Drosophila melanogaster: one gene and its partner. The protein of the gene in region 2 binds, or shares a complex with, the protein of the main gene of each other region. Each region holds a gene or a part of one and is shown on either strand. Other genes may lie near its edges.

Region 1 (5,669 bases), on a different chromosome or scaffold from region 2:
AATGCTACCTCAGCCGGCTCCAGTGGAACAGTGGGCGACTCCTGCCAAACTGTGAGCCTCGATTTTGCCTCTTGACAATTAGCCGCCAACGCTGCTCCAAAGTCCAAGCTTTGAGTGGGAGCACCCCATCTCAAAGTTACAAATGCGCGAAGCGCAATGCAACAAAACTAAAATTGGATTCTAAGAAAACATTAAATGCATATAGGCATTGCCAAAATTCCATTGCGCTGAGGGCATGATGGATTTTTGGACAGCGCTGGCTGGCGGTGGTGTCCTTGTGGACGGACGTGCTTGTCCACCCACCCGCGAGGACATACAATTAGATATTTAGTTAAAGACAACCGCAACATATGTTGCTCTCTGTTTTTAATCCCTACAGAACTCTCAATTTTATAATTTTTTCTCCCCTTTCTGCTACTGAATGTGCGGCTCGACCTCTCAACTCCAAGGTGGTTGTAATATTACCTTTTAAGAGCACCTTCATCAAGTAGCCCTAAGATTGAAACACTCGCATAACTGTTAAACTGTTATTAACACTAATCAACAATAGCGATTAAAACCCAATACGAATCTTTCAAAAACCTTTAATGATTGAAGAAATTCAATAAAGTGGACACTTTTTTCAAAAGCCCAGAATGTTTATAAACTTACTTGCATCAACAGACAACAGTTTTATTTTCCAATATTTCAAAAAAAGTTAAGTAACAAACATTTGTGCTATTTAAAGTTGCAGAAGATCGATTAAACCTGTCTGTTAATTTACTTCACAAACGTTGAGCTTATTTTACAAGTTTACATCTTCGAGCTACATTTATATAAAAATCTGTTTAGTGTCTAGTGCAAGGTACTTATTGGGCTTAAGTCTTCTCTATTTACAAGGCTCTCAAATGGGGGGCAAAAGCTGGGCAAACCCAGCCTCCTCCGCGTCTCATGAGTACGCGCAAAGGTGTCCGCACTTGGGGCACTTGGAGTGTTTGGCAAAGTACTTCTGCAGGTGCTCTATGTGACCGCCGTGGGAGCATCCTTGGCACCAGGCGTAGACTCCCCGGACGATCAGACCGCAGACGCAGCACTTGGCGGACTGCATGGACTTGCACTTGTCGCAGTACCATCCCACCTTGCCGCCCATTGGACGTCCACACTCTCCACAGTTCGTGTGCATGGCGGTCGAGTGCTGGTTGAGCTGCTGCACCGATCTCAGCCAGGAGCGGTTGATAACCTCGCAGGCCTCGTTCCACAGCTCATAGCGATGCAGCTGGTCCACGTAGGTGTAAAACCAGTGCTCCTGAAAAGGAAGAAAACCGGATGAATAACTCCGTTCTGATCCCAACTTTGTCTTTGAACTCACCACCAATGCATCGTCAATGGGCAGGAGCTTCCGAGCTTCTCCCAGCGCTATAAGGACTGTCAGAGCTGTTTGCACATCGCCCACATCGTTCATTAGCATGAGGGCATCGGAGACGAACTTATGCGGTTCCCACATGGGTATGGGCGGGACATGGCTGACTTTTAGGACAGTGGGAACATGCGGTGGCTAAAAAGAGGATGAATAAGTTAGTTAAGCTGTAAATACATCGAGTTCTCAATAATCTCAACTAACAGGTGACTTTTCGTGATCGGACGCCTTGAGATCCAGTTGTGGTCGTGCAGCCTGCACATCGTGATGAAGGGCGGGGAAGGCCAAAGCTTTCGGGCATTCTGTGGGACCCACGTAGATAAACCCATTGCGCAAGAGCTCAAAGTTGTCAAAGGTAATCTCGCTGATGATTTGCGTTTCGGACAGAATCACTGAGCTCGTAGGCGGATGCTCCACACCACTGCTGCCGAGCGTATCATCGTCCACATTCGCCACATCAATTTCGTGGGCTGTTTCCGGCGTGTTTCCATTGAGATCCTGGCCTAGTTCAGTTCGCTGCTGTGGCCAATCGCTGGCTACTTGCGTGGCACGTCGTGAGTTCATTGGATTCTTTTGATTCGAGAAGGAGGAGCGGTGCTCGAAGGGAGGCTCAAAGTGATTGCTGCCGTAGAACAATTTGATAAAGTTCCACAATGTGGTGGCCTGAAAAATGTAGATGCTAAGTTTTGGCAAATTTTGGGAATAATCTCAAGCGCTTACATTATGTTTGCCGTATTTCTTGGAAACCTCTGCATTGTGCTCGCATAACTCCGATAGTTTTTTCCCACTGATAACAAGTTCCCTGGCACAGCCAATAAAACTTTCGTGTTCTTGGGTGGGTCTTGAAACAGATTCGCTTAGGGGATAGCCGGAAAACTGAAATATATCAATTAGTATCAGATTTGGCAAAGAAATCCCTAATAGTGTCATACTAACCGTGTCGTTTACCATGAATTTGTACATTTTGGAATGGTCCAAATGGAACTGAATGCTGCCAGCCACATTCGTCTTACGGCGACTTCTAAAATACACATACATATAAACATACAAGTTGATACAACAAATACGACATACATGAAGCTAGAAGACTTGGTATTGGATGCACCGCTGGTCTTGGGTTCATACTCCTTGATCTTGTTGGCAAAGGAGATGTCCCCAAATCTGCCCAGGCTAGCTCCCTGGGCATTTGCCTTCAGCGCTGGCCTCGTGGCATCCTTAAAAGCATGTTTGTAAATGGTGGAGTCCTTGCTGATGGACAGAAGACAGTGCGAGTCGCTGCCCTGCCACGCAATTCCAGTAGTCACATTGGTGTGCTCGTTGAAGGAGGCAAAGGGGATGTAGGGTCTGCGGATGTCCCACACATGAACGCTGTAGTCCACCACAAGGGCACAACTAGCGATGTGATAACTGGAAAGGATTAAACAGATTTAATATAAATAAGACTGTTAAACCTGGCTAGAAAAACCTACGTTCTTTCTGGTCGCCACTTAACCCGTCCCACTACGGCGATTGTGTGAATGGTGTGCTCCAATCCCGGCCTGCCATCCATGTTCCACACCTTGATCTGCTTGTCCCGACTTCCGGTGGCCAGCCAATTCCTTGTGGGATGCCAGTCGCATGTGTAGACTGGCCCGTAGTGCGCCGTAAACTGCACCATGCACTTGTCCCACTTCCGCATGTCCCACAACTGGACAGTTCCATTCTCGGAGACGGCGGAGAATATGTTTTGTGTGTGTGGACTGAACTTGACATCCCGCACTGATTCCGAGTTGCAGAAGTAGGTGTTGATTGACTTATCCGATCGGATGTCGAAACACTTGATGGTGCCATCCTGAGAACCGGAGATCAGGATGTTGGGCTCGCTGCTGTGAAAGGTCACGGTATGAGCGGTGCGCTCATGTTCGTTGTAGACAAGCAGCTGCTTCTGCCTGCCGAACTTGGAGAGATCCCACACGGAAACCACTCCGTTCGTGGCCGCCGTAGCCAAAAGATTGCTATCCAAGGTGGACCAGGCCACATCGTTGGCGGAGTAGCTAAGATTCTGGTTCTTTCCGCGCATATTACACGATTCCGTGAAGCCATTGCTGTTTATGGAGTACACCTTAAGCACTGTTCGGAAGCAAATTATGTGTATTTATAGAAAGACCTTGGGCAATTCTAATCTTACAGCTTCTTCCGGCCAAAGCAATCTGGTTGTTGTCCTTATTCAGGGCCAGGGCGTTCGCGTGTCCTTCCAGGCATATCCGCAGCGAGATTGTGGAGGTGTCCTCCACGGAATCGGGCATCCTGCAGCAGTTGCAAGTTCGCCCGCAGAAAGCAAAACAGTGATTTGATAAGACAAGACGCTATCTTTTATTTTCCTTTCGGTTCAGTATGACCGTTTCTCGAGCGGCAAACCATTGGCGCGAGTGTTCCCAAATGCAGATGTTGAATATTGTTTGAACAAAAGACTTATTGTACTAAAGTTGTATTATTCACATATAATTAATGTATTCTATACATATACAGACAGAAACATTAATTTCAATTAAGCTATTAAATTCTTTGAAACTTCTTGGAACACTCCAATAAGATCTGCCAGTTGGAGCGCGTCGTTGCCGGACCATCCACACCGACGGAGTGGCAACGCCATTCGTGCGGCCTTGCTGTTTACAAAAATCACGGTCGACTTTTTCGACAATTTCATTTACCAGCGCAACAAGTGGCCGCAAGAAAGCAGGAGAGTGGAGCCGGGTGATCCTGATCCCTTCCAGAAATGCCGGACATCAAGATAACGCCCTTGGGCGCCGGCCAGGATGTGGGCCGCAGCTGTCTGCTGCTCTCGATGGGCGGGAAGAACATAATGCTCGACTGCGGGATGCATATGGGCTACAACGACGAGCGCCGCTTCCCGGACTTCTCCTACATAGTGCCGGAGGGTCCGATCACCAGCCACATTGACTGTGTGATCATCTCGCACTTCCACCTGGGTGAGTCTCGGCCTCCCAAAGGCGCTCTTATCTGGTCAACTGGCTCTAATCGTTTCTTTATCGATTGCATGCATTCCAGATCACTGCGGGGCCTTGCCCTACATGTCAGAGATTGTGGGCTACACGGGGCCCATCTACATGACGCATCCGACCAAGGCCATAGCACCCATCCTCCTGGAGGACATGCGGAAGGTGGCCGTAGAGCGGAAAGGCGAGTCGAACTTCTTTACCACCCAGATGATCAAGGACTGCATGAAGAAGGTGATTCCCGTCACACTTCACCAGAGTATGATGGTGGACACGGACCTTGAGATCAAAGCCTACTATGCAGGCCATGTCCTGGGCGCCGCCATGTTCTGGATCAAGGTGGGCTCCCAGAGCGTTGTCTACACGGGGGACTACAACATGACTCCAGACAGGCATCTGGGAGCCGCCTGGATAGACAAGTGCCGGCCGGACTTGCTGATCTCCGAGAGCACCTACGCCACTACCATTAGGGACTCGAAGCGGTGTCGCGAGAGGGACTTCCTCAAGAAAGTTCACGAGTGCGTGGCTAAGGGCGGCAAGGTTTTAATCCCTGTTTTTGCCCTGGGTCGCGCCCAGGAGCTGTGCATCCTGCTGGAGACGTACTGGGAGCGCATGAACCTCAAGTACCCCATATACTTTGCTCTGGGTCTTACCGAGAAGGCCAATACCTACTACAAAATGTTCATCACCTGGACGAACCAGAAGATCCGCAAGACCTTCGTTCACCGCAACATGTTCGACTTCAAGCACATCAAGCCCTTTGACAAGGCCTACATCGACAATCCTGGCGCGATGGTAGTGTTCGCCACGCCAGGCATGCTGCACGCAGGTCTTTCCCTGCAGATCTTCAAGAAGTGGGCGCCGAATGAGAACAACATGGTGATTATGCCCGGCTACTGTGTGCAGGGAACCGTGGGCAACAAGATTCTCGGTGGCGCCAAGAAGGTGGAGTTCGAGAACCGCCAGGTGGTCGAGGTCAAAATGGCCGTGGAGTACATGAGCTTCTCGGCCCATGCAGATGCCAAAGGTGGCTACAAGCTTAGCACTTTTATGCTGATACTAATTAATTTTCTGTATTGCAGGCATTATGCAGCTAATTCAGAACTGTGAGCCAAAGAACGTCATGCTCGTCCATGGTGAAGCAGGGAAGATGAAGTTCCTGCGCTCGAAGATCAAAGACGAATTCAACCTGGAAACCTACATGCCGGCCAACGGCGAAACCTGTGTGATTTCTACGCCTGTGAAGATACCAGTAGATGCGTCCGTTTCCCTGCTTA
Region 2 (5,122 bases):
ATGCGGATCATAGGAGGATAATCTTCGCATGCGTATCACCCTAACAGTGGGATATGGATCCATTTGGTAGAAGTTTCTGGCGGCCACCACTACCAAAGCGCTCCGGAACTGCAGTTTCCACAGGAGTTCAAAGAAGTATTTAATGTCCTTTTGCGACTCCTGCTTTCTTAGCAGGAACATAGTCCTCGTGTAACGCCTTCCTCTGGCTCTTTCGGCCTGCAAGTAAATCACCGCATCCTTGGAATCCCTGGCGAAGACCAAATATATGGTCTCCTCATCCTGCAGGCTGCTGAAGTGGACGTGCGAGGAATCCTTGTCCGTGGCCGTCATCTGCGGCAGCATGTAGAAGTGATTGCTGCTGTTGCACATCAGGCCGCGATGCAGATCGTCCAGATAGCTGGGATCAACAGATCCCAGGCTGTTCACTATAGTGATGGCATGCAAGCGATGCACGCGGCCGATCCTGTCCAGAAACAGAGCCAGCTCGAAAGCGCGGTCAAAGTTTTCGGTGGCCACGATTTGGTAGCGCGACAAAAACAGCGCGAACAAAAACTGAAGATACATTTTCGCTCGTGAACCATGCCAAACTGACTGGGATTTCCATGTACGCCGAGTACTTCAAGTGCATCTCGAATTATTTGCCCCACGATACGATCTCTAAAACAAAACCTGAAAACTGTTTGCCTAACACTTACCCGTGGTAATTGCTGGTGTCCACTCTTGCTCCCCAGTGGCTCCCCAGAGGTAAGACTTCGCCTGGGTGGCCGTCAGGTTGGGCACATTGGCGGGCTGGGGGTTCATCGGCGAGTTTTGACGCCGCTTAAAGACTGCGTATACAAAGCAATGCTAGTCGAGGAGGTTTAACTTTAGTTACTGCTACTCACAATCAATGGGCTCATCACCCATCACAAAGCTCTGCGAGGAGTCTGACTTGTTGAGCAGCGAATGGCTGGACACTCGGTCGTACTGCTCTCCATTTTCGCACCCGTAATCCTCCTGGTCGTTGTTGTTGTTGCTCTGCGTCTGCTGCAATGGTCTCTGCTGACCAGCCTGCGTGGGTTTGGCGGGCACCGCTTGATAATGATGCTGCTGTATGAGTACACCGGTTGGGCCCTTCGGGAATATGTGCGTCCAGCGGCGGCGATTGGAGGTCAGCTTTATTGTCACTTGCGAGGGATCAAAGGGATTGATCAGAGCGCGACCCGGACGCACTATGGGCGCAATGCTAACGATCGTCCTGCGGGAGTTCTTCTCCGAGGCCAGTGACTCGGAGAGGTTGGTTGTATCCGGTTGCTAAAGTCACATAAAAACAGTTCAAAAGTCAGGTAAAAAGTCAGTATTAAGATTTCCCTTACCAAGGCAGCCAGCATTGCAGAGGTGCCGTGATGAATATCGGGATCGGACATCTTGCGCCGCATAGCCGGGATTTGAGTCGGCGTGAGGTTCTCCCAATCGTTGTTCCTATAGGCATAGGTCTCTAAACTGGGCACCGATGTCTTCTTAGCCCGCACTACACGCTGCAGGGAGCTAAGAAAATAAAACCTTGATCAACAAAGCTAAAAAGGTAATTTTGTAGCACAATACTACCAAGTACTCTGAGCGGGGAGCGGCTGGAAGATCTGTTCATCATACGCATCGTAATCAAAGAGCGAGTTGTGCTTATACTCCGACTGATTGCAGCTCAGGAAGTGACGCTCGTTCTCCTCGCCCTCCCCGTCGCCAACGCCATCGTGGAGCGTCAACTGGGATCCAAACAGAGGCAGCTTGATCCGTGGTATGAAACTGGAGTACACAATCTTCTTGTTAGTGGAGTAAAAGCTCAAGTTTATCCAGTGGGGCAGAGAGTAGTCATCGGCGGAGGTCAACGTGGTGTCTTTGTTGTGGAATTTGAGAAGCGGAACCGCATGCAGTGGCTGCTCGCCCACACAGACCAGGTCGCTACCCACGCCATTGTCGATAATGCGCTGCTTCGTGATATTGGTTAGCTCTCGATCCACGGAAAAGACACCCACTCCTGGGGTTATAACCACGGATAGTTGTCCGGTGCGGTCGAACGTTCTATCCAAGTAATGCTTTTCGAAAGTGTTCAGCGATATGTTTAGCACCTCCAAAAAGTTACCCTGAGTGGCTGAAGAATTGGTGGCCGGTGGAATCTTCATGTTCTCCCGTTCGTGGTAGCGCAGCACAGTGGCCTGTAAACGGCGTAGTAAGTTTTTATAATAGAATAAATTAAAACATGGTTAAGTGACCTGGTAGGACGTGAATAGCTTTCGGAGCTGGCCCAAAACGGTACACCAATCATCACAGCGCTCATTCTGGATGGCCACGCGGTAAAAGTCCTCGTAGAAGCGACCCTTGTAGTCCTGCTGCAGGCAGTCGCGCATATGCTCGGGAAACTCGTCCAGGCTCTTGGCTGCGTAGAAGGTGCGGGAGAACAGCACGATGGTCACCTCGTGGTTACAGCTCAATTTTCGCCACTTTTGAAAGAGCTCAGTGAGAAACCCATTGACTGCCTTTTCGAAGTACAGGTCTCCGTGGATGTCAAAGTCCCACATCTCGGAGGACATCTGCAGGAAGAGGTACACCATCGAAGTGCTGCTGCGGAAGACAATCTTGGTGTCCTCCGTGATGACACCGCTGGCCACGCGCTCGCCTTGCGACCACATCTCGTACACCTGGCACCGAATCTGCATGTCGTTGTAGTCGATCTTCTTGTTCACATACACACAGGTGTCCGTCTGAGGGAGAAGTGGTACGTTAAAAGTATATCCTGGTCTGAAAACTGCGTGATTCCTTACCAGGTAGGTCTTCAGGCGCCACATTTCCGAGCGACCCATGTACTGGTCCTTGAAGGTAATCTCTATCGAGTCCAGGGCCACATCCGCCGGCTTAACTATGCGCATCACCACATTGGAGTACGGACGCATTTTGAAGGCATTGGCGATGCCCGATTCTATGCTTATCACATCCCGGCCACAGCTGCCATTGAACTCGGTGATTTGGAGCAGCAGGTGGGTGCCGTTCTCCTCGTCGGGGGCGTAAATTTCTACCACATCGCCCACATTGGCGTTGGGATGATCCTTTAGATTCATCACCAAGTCCGCATCTGTGCCGAAATTTCCGTGTAACGTAATGTTTGCGCAATATCCACTTTCGCTTACCGTAGGATTTGTTGCAGCCACGCGTATGCGTGTTCAGCTTGTACAGCTTCATGTTGACTTAGTGGTTGCAAAACCAACGGACAATTATTTACTCAATTCCAACATTTGCCCATTTGCATGCTAGTAAAATAAAAATTCTATTTTTTCGTCTTTTGTTTTGATTCCTTATCTGCAGAGTGACCGCAGGCATGGATTATTTGGTATTTTCCTGTACAAATATACCGAATTTAATGTTTACCTTTAATTGTTATTGTAATTAATTAAATCACGCAGTTTATTTATATTTTTCAAGGTAGCTCAACACTTTTATCTTTTATTGAAAAACTAACTTAATCTGCATTCCCTGTCAGCTTAATTATTTTCATATATATTAAATTAAATAATGATTTCAGTTACGTAAGCTTTTCTGTTATGTATGTTATTGTGTGATTTGTATTATTCGTCACAAAATTTGAATTACCGAACGTTAGGGGCAACCGATGCTTTCGTCACTAGACTCCTACCAATTCAGCGGGGATTTGGTGCGTTGCTATTGACTGAAATTTTTTTGGCATCTATGAAGCCTTTTAATTTACCCACAAGTGTAGCCAAAAGTTAACATATTTTACAAACTGGCGAAAAACTTTACTAATTAAAATAAATGTTTTTTTATATTATCGATTTAACACATATACAGTTGCGTAAAAAATAGCACCACCATAGCGCGTTTTATTCTAGATACAAATAATTAAGGTTGCACCGAAATAACGCAATATTTTCGAATAAAATTTTTAAAAATAGTTCTGGGTATTTTTCCTATTCGAATATAATAATAATCTGTAGAATGCATATATTTTTTGCAGCTTTATGCTTATATATGTAGTCAGTCTGCGTCACAGAAGCGCAATCGATTTCTTTCAGATAAGACCTTTTTAATTAAAAATGTAATTTCACCTATACTTCTGGAGGAAAATGATTGTTACATCGCATTAAAAATAAACACCCCCACGCTAATCAGTTTGTCCGCTCCTGAATCTATCAATTTCCATCTTTCTGACCATGAGTTAATCTAAGCAATTAGAACGTTCTATTTAAGTTTTCCGTACAGCTTTATTGTTTACACATATTTATTTGCTTAATGAATTTATCACGAAGTGACTACAAGCTGCATTCGTTGTTTTTCATTGAATAAATTTTATTGGGTCGCAAATATCAGTGAGTACATTTCGACAAAAATTGTTTAAAGACAGTTCGTTCGCCCGCGTAAATGGGTAATCCTCCGTCCTCAGTCAGATAGCTGCACTCGACTCGCTCCATTCCGGGTCCACCATCCATCCAGCTTCCATCATCCGGACCCCGGACTCGTATTTATGATCCTCGGCGTCGGGGATTGTTTCGCAATCGGTTGTTTGTTTATTGTTTGTGGTGATTAGAACGCCACTGACGACAGAGATCGCCAGATCGGGCAGATAATTCGCATTCTCTACTTATAGCGAGGGTTATGTATACAATCGAGGCGCGGGTCGCTCACCAGGATGCGTCGAAGTCGATTCGTCGGTTCGAAAATGAGTTTGCTCGTATATATGTAACTAACAATGCAAAGGGTCAAAGGGTCGTCGTCCTCGTCAATCACAATCTCAATCTCAACATGCAGCTTAAACGGTAGACAGAACCACGAAACTGGCTCCTAAAGCTAACTAAACACGTACGGACTACAAGTAAACGTTAATCACTAGGGAGGATGGGCTGGAGCACCACTCTCACATCGCCACGGTGGCCAGGACAACGGTGATGTCGTCCGGCTTGCCGCCACGCGCCTGAATGTTATTCCTCCTGGCGCTGAGGGCGAAGGGCGAGAGGAACTCGCTGTTGAGGGACAGGGTGCGCGCCATCAGCGCCAGGCTGTTGGCCGTCATCTGGAGCTTGACGGGATCGCGTTCGCCCTCCACCTCGCTAAGCACCTGCAGCATTAGATCCTCGGG

Evidence for each region.
Region 1: Iml1 (region 2) and Wdr24 share a complex: the UniProt entries of both Drosophila melanogaster proteins name them as parts of the GATOR complex.

What each region holds. Positions count from the first base shown.
Region 1 is NT_033777.3:29,741,319-29,746,987, forward strand, and holds Wdr24 (WD repeat domain 24), read right to left. Parts: upstream 3,775-5,669; 5' UTR 3,682-3,774; coding exon 3,564-3,681; intron 3,506-3,563; coding exon 2,866-3,505; intron 2,804-2,865; coding exon 2,471-2,803; intron 2,418-2,470; coding exon 2,333-2,417; intron 2,273-2,332; coding exon 2,117-2,272; intron 2,060-2,116; coding exon 1,601-2,059; intron 1,535-1,600; coding exon 1,349-1,534; intron 1,286-1,348; coding exon 929-1,285; 3' UTR 654-928; downstream 1-653. Other genes in the region: Gnpnat (Glucosamine-phosphate N-acetyltransferase), read left to right, coding at 1-51, 380-421; IntS11 (integrator 11), read left to right, coding at 4,152-4,365, 4,445-5,419, 5,475-5,669. UniProt on the Drosophila melanogaster protein: An essential component of the GATOR subcomplex GATOR2 which functions as an activator of the amino acid-sensing branch of the mTORC1 signaling pathway.
Region 2 is NT_037436.4:1,530,696-1,535,817, forward strand, and holds the start of Iml1 (increased minichromosome loss 1), read right to left. Parts: upstream 3,340-5,122; 5' UTR 3,214-3,339; coding exon 3,162-3,213; intron 3,107-3,161; coding exon 2,799-3,106; intron 2,739-2,798; coding exon 2,250-2,738; intron 2,193-2,249; coding exon 1,588-2,192; intron 1,528-1,587; coding exon 1,356-1,527; intron 1,294-1,355; coding exon 885-1,293; intron 828-884; coding exon 696-827; intron 565-695; coding exon of another isoform or gene 1-564. Other genes in the region: Ir62a (ionotropic receptor 62a), read right to left, coding at 1-564; CG12091 (uncharacterized protein), read right to left, coding at 4,901-5,122. UniProt on the Drosophila melanogaster protein: An essential component of the GATOR subcomplex GATOR1 which functions as an inhibitor of the amino acid-sensing branch of the TORC1 signaling pathway.